2 linked regions of the Saccharomyces cerevisiae S288C genome follow. The gene in region 2 interacts genetically with the main gene of each other region. Each region holds a gene or a part of one and is shown on either strand. Other genes may lie near its edges.

Region 1 (5,376 bases), on a different chromosome or scaffold from region 2:
TCTATTATAGCATTAAATATCTTTAAATACATTCAAGAAATGGCGAAATTATTTCTTAGTGTTGGAATAAAAATCAACTATCATCTACTAACTAGTATTTACGTTACTAGTATATTATCATATACGGTGTTAGAAGATGACGCAAATGATGAGAAATAGTCATCTAAATTAGTGGAAGCTGAAACGCAAGGATTGATAATGTAATAGGATCAATGAATATTAACATATAAAACGATGATAATAATATTTATAGAATTGTGTAGAATTGCAGATTCCCTTTTATGGATTCCTAAATCCTCGAGGAGAACTTCTAGTATATTCTACATACCTAATATTATTGCCTTATTAAAAATGGAATCCCAACAATTATCTCAAAATTCACCAAATTTTCACTTAGGTATTTTCTTTTATAAAGTCTATCGTTATAAAAATACTATATAGATCCCATAGGTGCTTATTATAGCAGCAGAAGAAAGTAGAAAACGATTTATTCTCCTTTATTAAGCGTGATATTCAATAACTTCCCAGTTCAACCCATTGCTGGTTACAGTGGAACCTTTCTTCAAATTTTCGTAGCTTTGTGGAATTTTGTTTACTTCCTTACCGTAGCTTAATAAGAACTCAGATTTACCTGAATCTTTTTCAAGTAATCTGATGAAGTTCAAGCCTTCAATAGTGTTATTATTCTTTTGGGACAAAAACCCTTGAATCCATCTACCAATAACAATAACCAAACCATCATAAGCTTCGTCAGTAACTTTGAGGACAATTGACCTAGCATTCGACGAGAACTTCTCATTGTTTGGTGAGACGATGACTAGATCTTCTCTTGATGGGTCAACTGGTTGCCACAATTCTCTGAAAGAGACGCTTTCTTTGTCGGCACCGAATGGGTAAACAGCGCCTGTTTCCTCGACACAACCAGAATCCCAATTTTTCCAAGTGGTGTTCACTTCGCCACGATGGGTGTTTGGAACGTTCAAGTACACATTTGTATCCAACCAGAAATTGAAATCTTGAGTAACGACACCGTTTCCTTGATCATTAGCTTTAACTGTTTCGTTTGTACCGGCAAAGGCCCATTCGAAAGGAAAAGATAACTCATCACCGCTTGGCTTAACAAATGGTCTCAAGGAAATATAGTGCCCATCAGTTGAAACAGAGGATAAGGTGAATGTTCTTTCGTTTGGATGAGGACCCACTTGAAACAATAATCTTTTTAATAATGCTGGCATTGTAACTTAATTTTTTGTTTGTTGTTGTTTAAGTTCTTTTATCCTTCCTTAGATAACACCTTAAAGCTCCAGTTACAACAGCGGTGAGAATTGACTTTATATTCGGGGCACTTCCGGTTGTTTTACGAACATGTGATTCGGAAATTTTATGCAAGACGACACGGAACGGAACGTATGCCGGCGGAAAAGCTCACGTGTGAAGAAGAAAACAAAAAGAGTAAGCTGGATTTTCTTTTTCGGAGATTCTGTAGAATTTTTTTATTAGTGCAATGAGGTAAAAAGGAAACTAATATTAAATTCTGAAGGTTATGTTACATAGTTTTTATTATTATTATCGTATATTCTATAAGTGTACCATATAAAATAATGTCTTTACTTAGACTTAAGTGAGAGATCTCTGTAAAATGTTGGATAAAAAAGAGATAATGAACTAAAAGGGGTAGATAAATTAACGTTCTGTTAAGTTTTGCTGATGAAAAATAACATTAGAAAATTCAGCTAAAATGAGCGGACTGAGGGCGACTTAGTTAGAAATTGTGCCACATTGGTTTGGATACTTTCTGTCAGTCAATGGTTGAGGGAATAAACCATTGAACATCAATCTTTGAGCATCCCATTCCAAACTAGATTCTGTCTTGTAACACCAGATAATCCAACCCCCTCTCATTTCAAAGGCATCTAGTTGTGCCTCCACATAACGTCTTGTGTTTTCCTTTCTTTCGTCAGACCAGTAAGCTATATCATCGTTGTTAGCACAAGAGCCAATGTAAGAAGATGTTTGGTCACCATTGACCCAAGAACCGTCGTATCTAGCGCCGAAGCCAACACTATTCAACCATTTTGTACAATCAGTCAAAGCGGCAGCAAACTCACCACAAACAGTCCAGTGGGATTCATTCAAAACTCCGGTACCCCATTCACAAGCTACTTTAATATGTTCATCAATGGATCTTTCCAATTGATCAGAAGCAAAGACTTGGTAGTGATGATGGTCGATAGTGACACCCCAGTAGCCATCGTTTTCAGTCATGAAGTCATCCCAATAATTGTATGGTTGGAAAGCGTCATGGATGATGATAACTTGGTCACTCTTGATGTTGTTTCTCAAGTATTCGTAAGCAGGTGCCAAGTAGTCATTCTTCATTTTATCCATGTCTAGAACAGGACCCAATGGCTCATTAATCAATTCGATACCAATAACAGTGTCCAAGTATTCCTCCGCAGAGTATTTTTTCAATATGTAGTTCAAGACATTTGTAGTAACGGCCAAATTGCTGTCTTCCAAAAACTTGTATGAATCTCTCAAACCAGAGTTATCAAACCCGTTCTGCGAACCAGCGGCACCATGCAAATCAACCCAAACTTTCAAGCTGTTGTTTCTAGCCCAACCGATGGCTTGGTCTAGGTAAGATTCCTGTAGGCCGCTAACATAAGGATCATCGTCCAAAGTTTGGAAAGCCCAGTAACCGATAGGAATTCTGACAAGGTTGAAACCTTGGGAAGCAATATTAGCGAAATCTTGTTCTTGGTAGAAAGTAGACCAATGGCTCTGTAAACGGCTTTTAGCCAAATCCTTACCTAAATATTGACAGAAGTGATATTCGTCGACAGGAATTCCTTCGTCGTTGTCATCATTTGTACGGAAAGCCTCGAACAAAGATGGAGTAATGTATGGTTCAAGAAGTAACCAACCACCAATGTTGACACCACGGATTGGTTCTCCGAGGGAACCGTGGTCATAATCGTAGTATCTTTTCTTGTTCTCCTCATGAACAAATTGAATGGAAGAAGGGTCTCTTGCAGGGACTGGGGTAGCGAGTACTGATGACACAGTCAACAACGTACACAGTAACGTTTTAAGCGAAAGCATTTTAGTTGGTAATTAACTAGAAAAAGAAAGTAAACAAAAAATCAAAGGCACGTGTTATTCAAAACTTTTGGGTCCTCTCGTAAACTTTAGTTTTCTATAGTTATTTTTGACTTAGTCAATACATAATAAAAATTACTAAGAAAAGGGAGGGAGTATTTAAAACGTCTGCAAAAACATTACTTTTTCCCAAAAATCCATCCAACTTATATACATTTTTTATCATCCACGCCTTTTTATTTAAAGTGCCTTTCTCTGCAACTGCTCATATGACGATATGAGATGGCAAGTTCAAGTTTGTTACACCGCTTATTGATGTGCACACAGGTACGGAACACGCTAAAATTATAACGGCGTGCTCGAGAGAAAAACCCAACAGGGTTGGTCTGGGCATCTCCAGCAAGCCACGGTTTTAAATTGACAGTGCTTCACACTGCGGTGTTGTCTGGGGCGCCTCTGTATTTGCGGCAACGCGCCTGGTTACGGGCTTGTCTCAGGCTCGTGTGCACCGCACTGTAAACACAGGGAGGATGACTGGGTCAGGTCCCCACGGTTTATTTATAGTAAACAACAATGCGCGTATGTGTGCGTATTAATGCTATAAAAAGAAACGCGCAGTATCAAGCCATCAGATTTTTTTAATAATGGTAAATACGTATGCTGGCATCGTTCCGAAGTCGCGTCTCGGCTGCAAGGTAGGGAAACTTACTGAAAAAGGCAAAGCTCGCATGATCTGGATTTTTTGTTTTGTTTTAAGGGCGTATGCCCTTTGTTAATGAAAAGTAAATATTGATTCTTTAAAAATAAACGCAAGCCCAGTATTTATTTATATACCACAGAAGCAGGCTCCCTACATTACGTACTATTATCTTGAACTATATTACAGTACCATTCTTACCCCACATCTTAGTATACGGAGGAGATTCCTCTTTTTCTCCAATAGTCACTCACCGCATGCCATTCTCCCCTGACATTGCGTATAGCATTAACTACGCTCTTGGGAAATACTTCTTTCATCGTATATCCCATTTCCTTGAGAGTGCTTAGTACGGCTTTACCGATCATGGGGAAGCTTTCCAGTTCTATGCGGTCGGGCAGTAACTGGTGGTGTATACGTGGATAGGCTATCGTTTCCAATATAGGCATGTTATACCAGTACGTCCTCACAATTGTTTGTAAAACACTCGTAGTGATTCTTGAGCCGCCGGAAGCGCCGACCACGAGGTCTGGGATGCCTAATTCTGACAGCACAATAGTGGGTGCAGTGGATGATAGGGGTCTTTTCCCGGGCTCGGGAAAGTTGTATATGGAGGGTGCCAATTCAAAACTATTAGATTTGTTGAATTGAGCGAAATCGTCCATTTCATTATTGAAGATCACCCCGGTTTTTGGGTCGTGTACTAAGGAACCGAACAACAAGTTGATGGTGGTTGTCAAGGAAACAGCATTCCCATGTGAATCTACTATACTGAAGTGGGCAGTTCCATGCGGGTTATTGATATCGTATGCCGGATCATAAAGCGTCCAGTTTTCTAAAGTTTTAAAATTTCCGTCTTGAGAGTTTCTTTTGATTGATTTCACTGCTTTCAAAGCCCATTCTGGATCCAATACCTCTTCTATATGCTTAGGTAATGCTTCGCCTTCAAAATCGCCTAACCTGCTTCTTGCGCTTGCCATCCATTTCATGCTTTCAAGCAAATGATAGGTAGTTTCTTTTTCATAATCGCCCCCTTCTTGATTCTGGAAATTATCCATTATCCTTAACGCCGCAAGTAGTGCAGCCCCGGAACTTGAGCCGCTACTTGTTAATACGGTCATATCGTTATCAGGGATGAAATTGGCGCCCTTCCTAATTTTCATGGACAGTGGTTTAGTAACATGAACATCATACGATGAAACATCCTGCAAGTTCATTATTCCATTGTATTTTGCGACAGTATCAATCATGGATTTTGCAATCCAGTGATCGGGGTCATAAAATGGGGCCACGGAACCATTTTTAGCCAGTTCCATTAGCATGTTAGATAGTGCCGGCCTCTTGATCCAATCGCCTTCTTTCAAAACACCGTCATGGGTAGAATTCAATACAAACGACCAATCTTCCTTCAATGTCAGGAAAACATCCTCATAAAGTTCTAAAGTGGCACCGAGTGCTTCGCCTATTTGCCAACCCACGCTTCCCAGCTTTGCGACTGGTTCAATTAGATCACGCCAATCAACTTGGCCGCTACCTCTTTCTTTAAAGAGGCGATAGAGACCCATCAATTCACCTGG
Region 2 (5,993 bases):
AATATTCAAATGAGGCGAATGAGGAAGACACAGCTGTCCAAGAAGGAGCTTTTTGAGAAGAGGAAATCTGACGTGTTAATTGCTGCCAAGTCTTTAGATACAGAAATTCAGAATGTGAAAAATTTGAAGCGATTGTCGATTGGTTCAATGGATTTGGTAATTGACCCTGAGCTAGAGTTCAAAGTGAACAGTAGAAACTCATATTCTTCAGATTCCTCAAAGGAATCCCTTCAAGAATCGCTCCATGAAGAGAACATTATACGATCAGAACAAAAGGAAGAACAAGGGAGCGAAGACAATGATGCATATGAAGAGGGCGATGCTACTAATGTCGACGACAGTATAGATATCACTCAAACAGAGTATTTGCATGATGAAGAAACATTGGAGAAGGAAAAAATCATCCGTAATGCTTCTTCATCCACTTCATCTTCAGCAAGAGTAACGTCGAGGAACAGAAGGCTCAGTGGAGTAAAGACATTGGCTCACGATGTTGTATTGGATGTGGAGAACGACCACGATTCAAAAATGGTTGATTTAACTCAAAACCTTTTGTGGGTGCCCGCTGACCAACATCCTAACGTTAAGCCCGAAAACTATTTGGAATTGATCCAGGACACTTTACAAAACATTCAAATAAGCACAAATCAAGACATTGATGAAAACAAATTAGAACTGGGTAACAATCATGTAATTTCGAATAGAAAACGCACGGGCTCTGTAGTTAGAAGGCCTTCTCGGTTGAAGACATCTTATACCAAGTTTGATGACGAACCTCCCCTTGCAGACAAACCACAAGAAGGAGAAATACAAGTGGATAAGCGAATATCCTCATCTGACATCAAAACCATAAGATCTGTATCTTTGAAAGAAATTACTGAAGAGCTTACTAAGATTTCCAATAATGCCGGTTTAACGGACTCAGATGCGGTGACTTTAGCCAGAAGCTTGAGCATGTCAGGGTCATTTACCAACGAAAGTCTTCATTTGAACGGCAATCACACTGAAAATGATAACGAATTTGCATCAAATATGTTTAATGAAACTGGACTTACCATACCAGAGAGATCTTCTCTAAGGAGGTCTAAATTCAACACATATAAGATCAGACTAGAGGGTAGTAGCCTTCCACAGGCGGTAAAACTCAATAGCCTAATGAATATACAAACTAATGACAATCGCAGAAGTGCATCATCGCCTGCCTCCTACACACAAGTGCCTCAGGAGCAAGCATCATTGAATGATTTTCACGAGATTTTCGACCATTACAGAAGAACAAGTACTGATTGGAGTACCGAAAATGAGAAATACGTTGATAGCACCAACTACTATTCGGATGAAGAAGATTTGACACATGCATCTATTTCTCAAGAGAGCAGTCTTTTATCTACAGATAGTTCTAACAACAGCGTTTTAATAAAGCCGCATAACACTGGTTCGATGATTTCTGAAAAATTGGATCAGCACGTTAGCTCGAGTGAAAAATCAAATACCAATAACAGCGAAGCAAATCATGGCTGGTCATGGTTGAATTCTAGCAATGGAAGTTTGAACGCTAATGAACAAACTTATCAACAGCTTACAGATGATGAAGACGATGAAGAATGTGTGGACAATGAAAAAGCTGACTTTGTTAACTTGAGTGTATCGAGGAGAGCGAAATCTACCAAACGTGCCTCTGAAAGAATAAACCATTCCAAAAATAGACATTCGCCAATTTTCCAGATACATTCTGAAGAAGCAAAATCCGTGGTAATCACTCCTTCAGTCGTTTCTTCATCTGAATCCCAGCCATCTAAGCCTACTGCACCGGCAGTCGTGGAGAAAAAGGTAGAACTGCCTACTGACACCCAAGCCAGTACACATAAGAAAAATTCCTTGGAGAAAAGGCTTGCCAAATTATTCAAAAGAAAACAACATAATGGTACCTGCAAATCAGATGTGAAAGTAATCAAAAAAAGTGTTAAAAAAGAACTGAAAAAGAAGGCTTCGCATTCGAGTTTATCAAAATTCAGGAAAAGTCCCAAGAAAAAGCCCCAAGAAGCGGAAGTTGAACGCCCTTCATCCCCCACCAAAACAATTACCACCGAAGATATAGATACAGCAAGCGTCATTGAACCAGAAGTGAGAAGTTCAAATGCTTCCACCCTTCTTCCTGACAGCCATACTAGCCACAGTTCTGAATTTGTGGTGGAAACTATAAGCGAGTTAGATGGCGACGATTCATTTGATATTAGTGGTGGTGATGTAAACTACGACGTCGAAGTGCACTCTAGTATCAGTAGAGATACGACAGCTGGACTAGAAGAGGATATAGGAGCAGAGAGAGAAGACAACACTTCACCTACTGCCCCTCAAATCTCAACTTTGCCTCCAAGAAAATTGACATTTGAAGATGTCGTTAAACCAGATTACTCAAACGCTCCAATAAAATTCACAGACAGTGCTTTTGGATTCCCATTACCAATGATAACCAACTCTACAGTGATTATGTTTGACCATCGTCTAGGAATTAATGTTGAAAGGGCTATTTACAGACTCAGCCATCTGAAGCTTAGCGATCCCGGGAGGGAATTAAGACAACAAGTATTGCTAAGTAACTTCATGTACTCCTACTTGAATTTAGTCAATCATACCTTATACATGGAGCAGGTGGGCACTGGAGATATAGCCTTCAATGGTGATTCTGCCTTGGGAATGATGGACAAAAATGATTCTGATGGCACAATCTTAATTCCAGACATTTAACTCATAACTGTTTACAAGATTGATAGATACCTATATAAGGCCACATATTTCAAGTATTGTAAGGATGCCCTTTTAGTGTCAAACTTCTTATTATCACGAAAAACGTCGTCTTTTCATGCAAGGAAGGACTACAGTATATACATATAAATATATATTTATGTAATTATTTTTTTCTTTTTTTTTAAATTTTCTAGCGAGAATGAAGAAAAGCCGACCTCATCTCATCCTATTTGGAACAAATTCGAATGATCTGTCCAATACAGCAAGGCTACCTTGCGGTTGAATTCTATCTCGTACTACACTAAGACGAAAGAGAAAAACGAAATGTCCAAGAGTAATACTTATAGGATGCTCGTCTTACTAGAAGACGACACCAAGATAAATAAAGAAGATGAAAAATTTTTGAAAGGTAAGCCGGGAAAAATGCATGAATTTGTTGACGAGTTGATACTTCCATTTAATGTTGACGAACTGGACGAATTAAATACCTGGTTTGATAAGTTCGATGCCGAAATATGTATACCGAACGAAGGTCATATCAAATACGAAATTAGTAGCGATGGTTTAATTGTACTTATGCTAGATAAGGAAATTGAAGAGGTTGTCGAAAAAGTAAAGAAATTTGTCGAAGAGAATAACTGAAATAATGATGTTGCTTCGGTTTTTTGCATGAATATAACGTGACTGTTGCGTATGCATATGTGCACGTAATTTAAAGAGAGAGTGACAGAATCTGCGCATCAGCATGGGGGCATATACAAGCATATGAGAATTTGGATAATGTATTACATCTAATTTATAAAGTTTGTAGAACAGCCTCTAATTTATTTAGTCTTTCTCCCACGCCCAATTTCGTTATTAGTTTGTCCTCCTTGCCGATTAACTCCAGCAACATTGTGGGCAACAACTCTTTGTTGTAATACCGACACCATAGAGCGTGTCCGTTAAATTCTGTATATTCTAACTTCTTCAGGGATGCTCGATGAAAGCAAGCCGTGCATTGAACCAGATCATCCTTCTGGAATTTCGTGTAGCCGAGAAGCAACAGACCTACGAGAGAATAGTCTTTACAATCGAAAAAAAATGCCAATTTTTGTATTTCTTTCTCAGACAAGTAATGAAATATACGGGAAGAGTTTCTTTTAAGGCTAAATTCATTTGATCCGGAAACAATTCTGTCAATTTCTGTATGAATTCTTTCAATTTCCCTTATAAGGTTTTGTGAGCTTAAATAATACTCTTTGTTTAAATCAACCTGATTTTCCCTCCACGGACACTTTTGGAGATGATTTCCAATTATATTGGAATTCCAGATTTTTTCATTCAATTTCATGGTGTAATCGGCGACATCATCGCCATTTTTTAATAAAGGAATTGTCATAATGGCATGGCAACAACAGCACTTAAATGGCACTTGCGACTGGGATGCACTTTGGTACGGCTCCCAGCCCTTGGATGCTAGAGTCAGTGGATTGACCCATCGAACGTCCCATTCAATGAGCACATGCCTTGTGTAGTTTTGAATGGAGCATATTCTTTTCAACAAGGCCCGAAGATCGTGTAATCGGAAACCAACAAAATGTTTAGAGCTTTCTTGTACCAAATCATCATACAATTGCACGTGGCTCTTACATTTTTCAGGCAACATTGAACTGCCATTATGGGATTTCTTCTTGTACCTCCATTTGGTAATAAGTCGCTCTCCTAGAGTATTCCTATATTTTCCCGGTAAAAGTTTGGTATTCTTGTCCAGCGAATGTCTAATAGACTTCAGTCTAACCTCCAATGCGTCCTTTTCCATTAGTAACTGCCCTACTTTCCTGTCAATTCCTGGGGAATAATGTTTTATTTCTCCTTTACCATAGATTTCAAGATGACAGTTACTTTCGTTCCGAATGACTAGCGCTTGAAAATTTTTCAAACATTTTCCATATTCAATAAGCAAAACAAAGAGCATTTTGATTTGATAACAATTGTTTGGTAGTTTGATCTCATCATCAATCAGAGGTTTTTAACAAATTTATTTTTTGAATACATTTCAAAAGGAAATTGCATTTTGTCTTTTTTTTTTTGGGAGAATTTTGTGGGGTATTTCAATCATTGTTCCAACTTTACGTTCCTTTTTTGAATAAAGACACTTCTTATTATTAACAGGCTTTTATTTGTCAAATAAGATTCATTCAAAATTTCCATAAAGCATTACTTCTGCGATATACTACTAACGGAATTTTGGTTGCGTATTATTGTGTCTGACATTGTATGAAGGATACACAAAAAAATTAAAGATTAAGAAAGTTATTCAAAATGCCTATTATGTTGGAAGACTACCAAAAGAACTTTCTAGAGTTGGCCATCGAATGCCAGGCTCTAAGATTTGGTTCATTCAAGTTGAAATCAGGTAGAGAATCGCCATATTTCTTTAATTTGGGATTGTTCAATACTGGTAAATTGCTTTCCAATTTGGCTACTGCGTATGCAATTGCCATCATACAATCTGATTTGAAATTTGATGTGATTTTCGGTCCTGCCTACAAAGGTATCCCACTTGCTGCTATTGTTTGTGTGAAATTGGCGGAGATTGGTGGCTCTAAATTTCAAAACATTCAGTACGCTTTTAACAGAAAGGAAGCCAAAGATCATGGTGAAGGTGGTATCATTGTCGGCTCTGCCCTAGAGAACAAGAGAATATTAATCATCGACGACGTCATGACTGCTGGTACTGCCATTAACGAGGCCTTTGAGATCATCAGTAACGCCAAGGGTCAGGTAGTTGGCTCCATAATTGCTCTTGATAGACAGGAAGTTGTGAGTACTGACGATAAAGAAGGACTCAGCGCCACTCAAACTGTTAGCAAAAAATACGGTATCCCAGTCTTGAGCATTGTCTCCTTAATTCACATAATTACCTATTTGGAAGGCAGAATAACAGCAGAAGAGAAAAGCAAGATCGAACAATACCTTCAAACCTACGGTGCCTCCGCTTAAAAATCAGTTTTTTAATTAAATGATTTATTTATCTCTTTTAAGAACTATTAATCTTAGTTACTACGATACATGCACGCCGCTCATCTATATATGTGTATAAATAGCGTATATTCACACACATATATATAGAGCGAGAGAGTTTTCTTGTTACTTTTTTCTGTGTTTCGGTACCTCTTGCCTGTAGCTGCTTCAAAACTCTTGGCTTATTGAACTCTGTTTCAACTACAGACGAAATAATACGAATAATTGATTTGTCTTGA

Evidence for each region. Genes that interact genetically often act in the same process or in processes that back each other up.
Region 1: mutations in YML108W (region 2) and HRI1 together harm fitness more than expected from each alone (negative genetic interaction), as found in Saccharomyces cerevisiae (2 studies listed by BioGRID).

What each region holds. Positions count from the first base shown.
Region 1 is NC_001144.5:726,684-732,059, reverse strand, and holds HRI1 (Hri1p), read right to left. Parts: upstream 1,236-5,376; coding exon 501-1,235; downstream 1-500. Other genes in the region: EXG1 (glucan 1,3-beta-glucosidase), read right to left, coding at 1,759-3,105; ECM38 (gamma-glutamyltransferase), read right to left, coding at 4,009-5,376. UniProt on the Saccharomyces cerevisiae protein: Unknown. Non essential.
Region 2 is NC_001145.3:51,721-57,713, forward strand, and holds YML108W (uncharacterized protein), read left to right. Parts: upstream 1-3,072; coding exon 3,073-3,390; downstream 3,391-5,993. Other genes in the region: ZDS2 (Zds2p), read left to right, coding at 1-2,748; PML39 (Pml39p), read right to left, coding at 3,545-4,549; orotate phosphoribosyltransferase URA5, read left to right, coding at 5,053-5,733.